Linked DNA regions of Neurospora crassa OR74A. The protein of the gene in region 1 interacts with the protein of each later gene in a biochemical or structural test. Links are inferred from orthologs where the notes say so. Each region holds a gene or a part of one and is shown in the gene's direction. Other genes may lie near its edges.

Region 1 (3,845 bases):
GCTGATTTTCGCGGGCTCGCACGGCGCGTCGAGGGAGTCGTGGGATTCTTGGGGACATCATCGGCTTCGTCATCAGCTTCGACGTCGGCTTCCGGCGTATCGGGCCTGATCTTGGGCGTCCATGACGAGTTGTTCGCGGGCGGCGCGAGGACGAAGGGATTAGGTGTCACACCCTTGGGCGTCGCTGAGAAGATGCTGGCCAAGGGCTGCTGTGGGTTAGAACAAAATCAATCAATCAATCAATCACTCTTGGTCGCCCGTCGCAGAAGAATGATGGACGCTGTCTGGATGCTTACCACTCTCACTTCGGTATTGGGCCCTTTGCGAATTGTCCGCGGTGTCTTGCCTCGTGGTCGTGCTGGCGTTTTGAAGATTTCGGCAATGTTCCTGTTCCTGGTCAGCGAGACAAAGAGAGGGAAATAAAACAAAGACAACGCACATTTGGTTCTCGCCCAAGAAAATGTCCTCCATGTGCTCGTTCAGCCAGTCCATCTCATTGCGCGCCGCATACGAGAACTCTTCGACTTCCTCCTCTGCCACCTTGAGCGCCGATGCGCGCTCTTCTGCAACCCACGCTGCCGAGCCGACGGGCAGACGTGGTGCCTTGCGCATCGCCATTTTTGCTGTTTGTTTACTTTGGCGCCAAAAGTCAACAAACCGGATTTGGGGATGTGGGGAAAGCTCTAAAAAAAAAAAAAACCCCCAAGCAATGATCGGAAAAGAAAGGAATGGCAACAAGTGAGATGTTCAAAGCATTGGTATGATTAGTTGGTCAAAGAAAGGGAGGGAGGTGGGCGACGAGGCTGGCGATGTGGTATAATGGTGGTTGTCGGAGGGATGACGGGATTGCGTCGATCGAGTCAAAGCAACAAAGAGAAAGTCAAAGTCAAACAAACCAAGTAAAAAGCGAGGGATCGGAGACCTGACCTGACCTGACCTGGGATGGAGTTCCTGTTGCCGGAGCAAATTCCCTTGTCTTGGTTTCAATTGTTAGTACCCAATCCGCTCCAGTCTTTGTTTTGGTTGATGCCCAAAAGGGAATAGTCTGGGCTGAGGGGAGCGAAGAGGTGGGGCTTCTGTTTCCACTGCACTGTTGCAGCGCTTTTGTGCCTGGAAACTGAAGGCCCCAGAACACACCCCCGCTGCACGCCTTCCCGTCGCCAATTCACGTGCAGGCCCTGTCATTACCGTATCGTGGGCACAATCAATACCGTCATGGAGAGATCAAAGGTCTGCAAGTAAGAGGTTGGCCACAAAGAGCTGTAAATGTTGAATAATGGCAGTGCAGATGTTCAGAGAGCCATGTTTAACTTGAAACAAAAACACCAACTGAAAGAGCAATTCCCAGGGAAAAGATCCCGAGTGCTAGATACCCGGGTCACTCTTCGGTATTCTTGCTGACCCTCGGCCAGTTTGTGTAAATACAGTGTAATGGAATTCTCCTCCTCGACAAAGTCGCGACCAGTCTCGTCCGACTTGCAGACATCGCGTCTCACATCTTCCGTCTCTTCTACAATACTACTTCCAGGCTTCCAGGTAGAACGAAGGCAGCCATCACCACCAACAAAGTACTCGGATACCCTTCAGTACAACCGACATTATCATGGACGTCTTTGGCGATGAAGCCTTCAACGTCCCCGACTCGACCGACTGGCTGGGCACGCCCCTCGCATGCCTGATGCCCGTCGAACAGGCTTTCCGCTGTCACGTATGCAAGGACTTTTACGACTCTCCCATGCTCACATCCTGCAATCACACCTTTTGCTCCTTGTGCATCCGAAGATGTCTGTCCGTCGACAGCAAGTGCCCGCTCTGTCGCGCCACCGACCAGGAATCCAAGCTCAGAGGCAACTGGGCTTTGCGCGAAGCCGTAGAAGCCTTCAAGAACTCCCGCAAAGTCCTTCTCGAGTTTGCTAGGACACCACCGACCATTCAGGCGATACTGCCAGACCAAGCAGGCCCCAGTTCGCCATCAAAACGAAAGGCGACCGAAATGGAGGGGCCAAAAGAGGAGGACCCAGAAAGCAAGAGGCCGAGGAGGTCAACCAGATCAACAAGAGCCCGAGCCGCCGAGTTGACAGCGGCAATACTACAAGAAGAGCAAGACACCACACCTTCAGCCGACCCGGATTACGTCGACCAACCACCCGGTTCGTTTCCCTCCTCCCGCTCCTCGTGGGTTGCTTCTATCATCATCATCATCACTGACCTCCCACCAGACGACGGCCTAGTAGCCTGCCCCATCTGCCTCACCCGCATGAAGGAACAGCAAGTCGACCGCCACCTCGACACCTCTTGTCCCGGTTCTCCCCAGGCCGCATCCAAACGACGACCGATCCCCGCTCAAACACCACAGCCATCGACCTTTCCATCCTTCAACACCCGCCTCACATCTCAAACCAACCAAAAACCACCCGAACGCCTCCCCGCCCTAGCCTACTCCATGCTGCGCGACACCGCCCTGCGCAAGAAACTCTCCGAACTCGGCCTCTCCACCCACGGTTCTCGCCAGCTCTTGGAGAAGCGCCACAAGGAGTGGATCACGCTTTGGAACGCCAACTGCGACTCTTCGCGACCCAAAAAGCGGTCCGAGTTACTTCGCGATCTAGACGAATGGGAACGGACAGTAGGGAATCCCGGCACAGCAGCAGGAGGAGGAGGGGGGCAGCAGGGACTCGGACTCATGGCGAGGGCGCAAGCTACTGGAGCGCAGATCAAGGACAAGGAGTTCGATGGCAAAGCTTGGGCAACTCGGTATGGAGGGAGTTTTGGGGATTTGATCAAGCAGGCCCGGCAGGGGATTAAGAGGCAGACTTTGGATGGTAATGGGGAGAAGGCGGATACCAAGGGTGGGGGTGGGGGTGAGGATGTTGGCCCAGCTGAACTTCCGACACTACAAGCGAGAGAGGGGGAAAGCAGTGCAGCGCCAACACGGATGGATATTGTCCCGCCATCAAGTCCACCACGACCGGGGCAGGTGGATGACGCGGATACAGAACACGACGGGCAAGCTCCTGGAAAGGATGCTATAGCAGAGGATACCGCCATGAGGGAACAAGTCATTCCCGGGACTCCAGACAAGGAACGGCAGTGGGAGACGTCACAGCAGCAGCAGCCACCAATACCTGGGGATGCTCAACTGAGTGGGATGAAGAAGCCAAATCCAGAGACATGTTAAGGCCGATGGATATATTATGACAGGCACTCTTTTCTCCTACTTTACTAATTTACCCTGTGTTCTGTATGACATTTGTAGTCCATCCGGACTAGACCCACTTAACCTCTACACTAAAACCCACCCCACCCCCAGAAGACCCACATTTCTGTGGGCCGGGTCCGCTGAAGGATGTCGACGGGGGGTAAAAGTGATAGAGACTACTTACCACAGGAACCTAGTGACACCTACCCCCAACGTAAACATCGCCCCCAGGATACGACTCCCCCTTCACCCCGCCTCTCAACTCCTCTCCCATGCCCGCCCCCTTCAAAATTCCCTCCTGCCGCTTCACCTCCCTCACCACCCTCTCCGGATACAAGACCAAAAACCCCGCCATCACCACCCCCATCGGCACCCCATCAAACACATAGACAAACCACTCATGACTTGCCACCACCCCGTCCGTTCCCCCCAAATACTCGGCCCCGCGCACCACACTCCTGACAACCAACATAGCCCCCGCCACCTCCATCACACCAAAATACCACAGCCATCTCACCCCAGGGTCCATCAGCATTGCCCGTGACCTGGTCGGGTTGCGGTGCAGGCGCACGTGTAGGCGGCCGCAGGTGAAGAGGAAGATACCCAGCGCGAGGAGCTGGACGCACAGGCCGATTAGGACAATGAT
Region 2 (3,289 bases), on another chromosome or scaffold:
GACGGAGGAGTCTTGGTCGAAGTCTCGGCCTTTGGGGTGGGAATACCAGGTGTTTCGGCACCCGAGGCAGCGGCGGCGGCGCCTAGCTCCTTGAATATGCTCTCGAACTGGGCTTGTAGCTCAGGCTGGCTCAGAGTTAGCTAGAGCCGCAGAAATTGGGATATTGCGATTGTTTGCGCCTACCGAGTTCTCGATGTCACCGAGGAGATCAGCCATGCCGGCCTGCAGCTGCTTCGCAAACTCCTCTTCGGACAGGACATCATCTTCCCCCTTGGCACCATCTGCCCCAGCGGCGTCTGGCCTTGCTGGCCCCGAAGGCTTCTTGGCTTGAAGGTCTACTGCGGCGAACTCATCGAGCATGTCATCCAGGTCATCCAGGTCATCCTCATCCGGGTCGGACACGTCATCGTCGAACTCGTCGGCCACGGTGGCCTTCCTGGGCACCTCCTCCTTTGCGCCGGCGTTATTCGAAGCCATTGTGCGGTATGAGTGTGTAAGAATGTTGTGTAAATCGCAAAGACGTCGATCGGTCGTGGATGCGCCTCGTTCCGACAGACGAAGCAGATGCTCGGGCAAAAGGTTGACCCCACGCTGAAGCACGACCTCTTTGAGAGAGGTAAAAGCGGGAAGTTGTCTGTTTGAGGTAGAAACCAAGCTAATGCAAGGCGGAGTGGTCTATCAAGAGAGTATACAAAATCTCTCTGGGATAGGCAAATCCAGAATTGTATAGCGAACCAAAACCTTCAAAGAAAGGGTGATCAGTGGAAGAAAACATGGAAGGGAGAGAAGTCAGATGGAGATTGACATCCAGAAGGGTTCAGATGACGAGGGGGTTTTCCTTTGCATGTGCAATTCGGCTCACTCCTCATGGCGCTTTCCCGCATCTCTGCTTGAACAGGGCGGTTACCCCACCATTGCCCACCGGGGTACGCTGTGTGCCGAGGGACACCACCTCCAGCTTCAGACAATATTCCTTGATCAGGTTGCTTGAGCACTTAAAGTCCATACTAACAGGCATCTCGCTGTCATCCCATCTTCTGATGCTAGTGTGACTGCGGATCAAGCTCATTTTGGAGCCTACACGCTGTCACTGAAATGGGCCATTTACTGTATGTGAAATGCCGTTGACAAGCTTCGGAGTACAAGTTAAGCAGAGGAGAGCTTCCATGCCATTCACTTCACCCACTCTCCGCCTTCCTGATTCGAGGCGACAGGAACTCCGAGCCCGGCAGGCAATAACTGAATGAGCGTGTCGCCTGCCATTCGATTTGCTGTCACTTCGTTGCAAACTGAAACTTCCCTCCAGCCTCGTTAGGATTCGAAGTCTACCACATCAGTCACAGTCGGTTCCCTTCCCAGGAAACACTTCGTTACATAGTTCCATTCGGATTGCGCATCATTCCCCGCATATACTCCAGATATTCGAACCCTCATCTTTTCTTTTTTGGCCTTACAAACCCCAAATCACCTTCACCTCTCACCTTGCGGGGCTACTACGCAGTACATACTCCACGCTGCTACATATCGCGTGGCCCATAGGATTGGATCTCTTACCTGCAGAGGACCTTCCCACACTCCACCTTCTGATCCGCGCCCATCCCCCCCGTGACCAACCCGAGCAGCTCTTCAGCCGCATCCCCACGTTTCTCGGCGCCGTCATTGCATTAGCAAGAAGCCGGCCGTCGAAGTTGAATCGTCGTCGCATTCAGTTTGTCCAAGGGATCACTCGAATCCCACGTTGATCAGCCACCGCTCAACTTTTACCGACGCCAAACCCCGTCAACGTCAACCTCGTCAACCACCATGGCGCTGTGCCAGAACCGCTTGCAAGAGGAACGGTACGCCGCAAAGCATTGCGCAACAGTGTACCTACGTCCAGCAGACTGACAATCTTATTCTCTCCCTCTAGGAAGCAGTGGCGAAAGGACCATCCCTTTGGCTTCTATGCCCGTCCCCAGAAGAACCAGCAGGGTGTGCTCGACTTGAAGATTTGGGAATGTGGTATTCCGGGCAAAGAAAAGACAATCTGGGAGGGTGGTCTGTTCAAGTTGACCGTCACGTTCCCTGATGGTATGCGCCCTGCACCGGTCGGTGTCTTTAGTCAGAAGAATACACGTGCTGACTTGACGTTTCCTGCATGCAGAATATCCCACGAAACCCCCCAAGTGTACGCCGAAAGCTAGCCCTCGTCCATCCCCCCTTGCTACGATCACATGGCTAACATGTTGGCGTCTGAGCAGGCAAATTCGTCCCCCCTCTTTTCCACCCCAATGTCTACCCATCAGGCACGGTCTGTCTCTCGATCCTCAACGAAGAAGAGGCATGGAAGCCGGCCATCACGATGAAGCAGATCCTGCTCGGCATCCAGGACTTGCTCAATGACCCCAATCCCGAGTCCCCAGCCCAGGCTGAGGCGTACAATCTCTTCAAGAAAGATCGTCAGGAATATGAACGTCGGATCAAGCGCGTCGTGCGGGAGAATGCCGCCCCATAGATTGGGAACCCACGAATGTGAGGGTGCTTGGTGAAAAAGAGAGAGCAGTTCTGTTTTGCTGGACCTGGGACACGGAGTTTAGGGATACCAATTCATTGTTTGTGGCGGCATTTGGAGGGAGTTCATTCATTGATAGCGATCCTGCGCACGATTCAATTTTCGGGCTGCTCTATATACTCATGATCGAGGAACAAGAGTCTAAGAAAAATAAAAAAAATTACCGACGCTGCGCCCGATGCATCAGTCCGTTTCCCCCAACTTTTGTGCTCAATACTTGCTGTCTCGGACCTAGATCTCCCTTCTACCAAACTCACGGTCGAGTTCGGCCGGGGAGTAGTGGAATCAGTGGGATGAACCCTCAAGAGTCATCTTCAATCGCAGATGATTCGACCAAGGCGGGAGAGGTATGCGTTTCAAGAAAAGATAGCAAAAAGTTATTTCACGGGAAGTTCACGTCCGGAAAACCTAGAATATCGGGCACCCAGTTTACAGAGTCTCAGTCAGATACTCCGTACAGGATTTATCACTAGCTTTATCTGTGTCTTCAGTTTGTCAAGAAGTTTTTAACCTCACGGCAAGGTTGCAAGCCACGCTCCGCTTGCGGAGAAACCTGGGGTACCCGTCGTCCCCCCCCCCCCCCCCCGCCCCCCCCCTTCTCCCCACTTAAGGTTTGTAAGGGAGTTGGACTTTATGCCGTTGACACAATGACGTTGGAGAGCTGGAAGGACTTGTCAGCCTGTGCAGCTGGCACAAAATCTGCCGGCACACTGTGATGAAAATATTCACACTACTGCT

The links. The genes of interacting proteins can lie anywhere in the genome.
Region 2: the proteins of uvs-2 (region 1) and NCU04302 form a complex in vitro, tested with the Saccharomyces cerevisiae proteins (2 studies listed by BioGRID, with this or other methods). The link is inferred for Neurospora crassa OR74A from reciprocal best matches to the Saccharomyces cerevisiae genes RAD18 and UBC9.

The regions. Positions count from the first base shown.
Region 1 is NC_026504.1:5,740,557-5,744,401, forward strand, and holds uvs-2 (postreplication repair E3 ubiquitin-protein ligase rad-18), read left to right. Parts: upstream 1-1,427; 5' UTR 1,428-1,603; coding exon 1,604-2,150; intron 2,151-2,219; coding exon 2,220-3,178; 3' UTR 3,179-3,237; downstream 3,238-3,845. Other genes in the region: NCU05211 (hypothetical protein), read right to left, coding at 1-206, 297-387, 440-618; NCU05209 (hypothetical protein), read right to left, coding at 3,393-3,845. UniProt on the Saccharomyces cerevisiae protein: E3 RING-finger protein, member of the UBC2/RAD6 epistasis group. Associates to the E2 ubiquitin conjugating enzyme UBC2/RAD6 to form the UBC2-RAD18 ubiquitin ligase complex involved in postreplicative repair (PRR) of damaged DNA.
Region 2 is NC_026505.1:5,554,853-5,558,141, forward strand, and holds NCU04302 (ubiquitin-conjugating enzyme E), read left to right. Parts: upstream 1-1,303; 5' UTR 1,304-1,803; coding exon 1,804-1,838; intron 1,839-1,909; coding exon 1,910-2,070; intron 2,071-2,143; coding exon 2,144-2,167; intron 2,168-2,240; coding exon 2,241-2,494; 3' UTR 2,495-2,745; downstream 2,746-3,289. Other genes in the region: pex19 (peroxin), read right to left, coding at 1-125, 184-477. UniProt on the Saccharomyces cerevisiae protein: E2 ubiquitin-like--protein ligase mediating SUMO/Smt3 attachment to septins and PCNA. Seems to be involved in degradation of S- (CLB5) and M-phase cyclins (CLB2).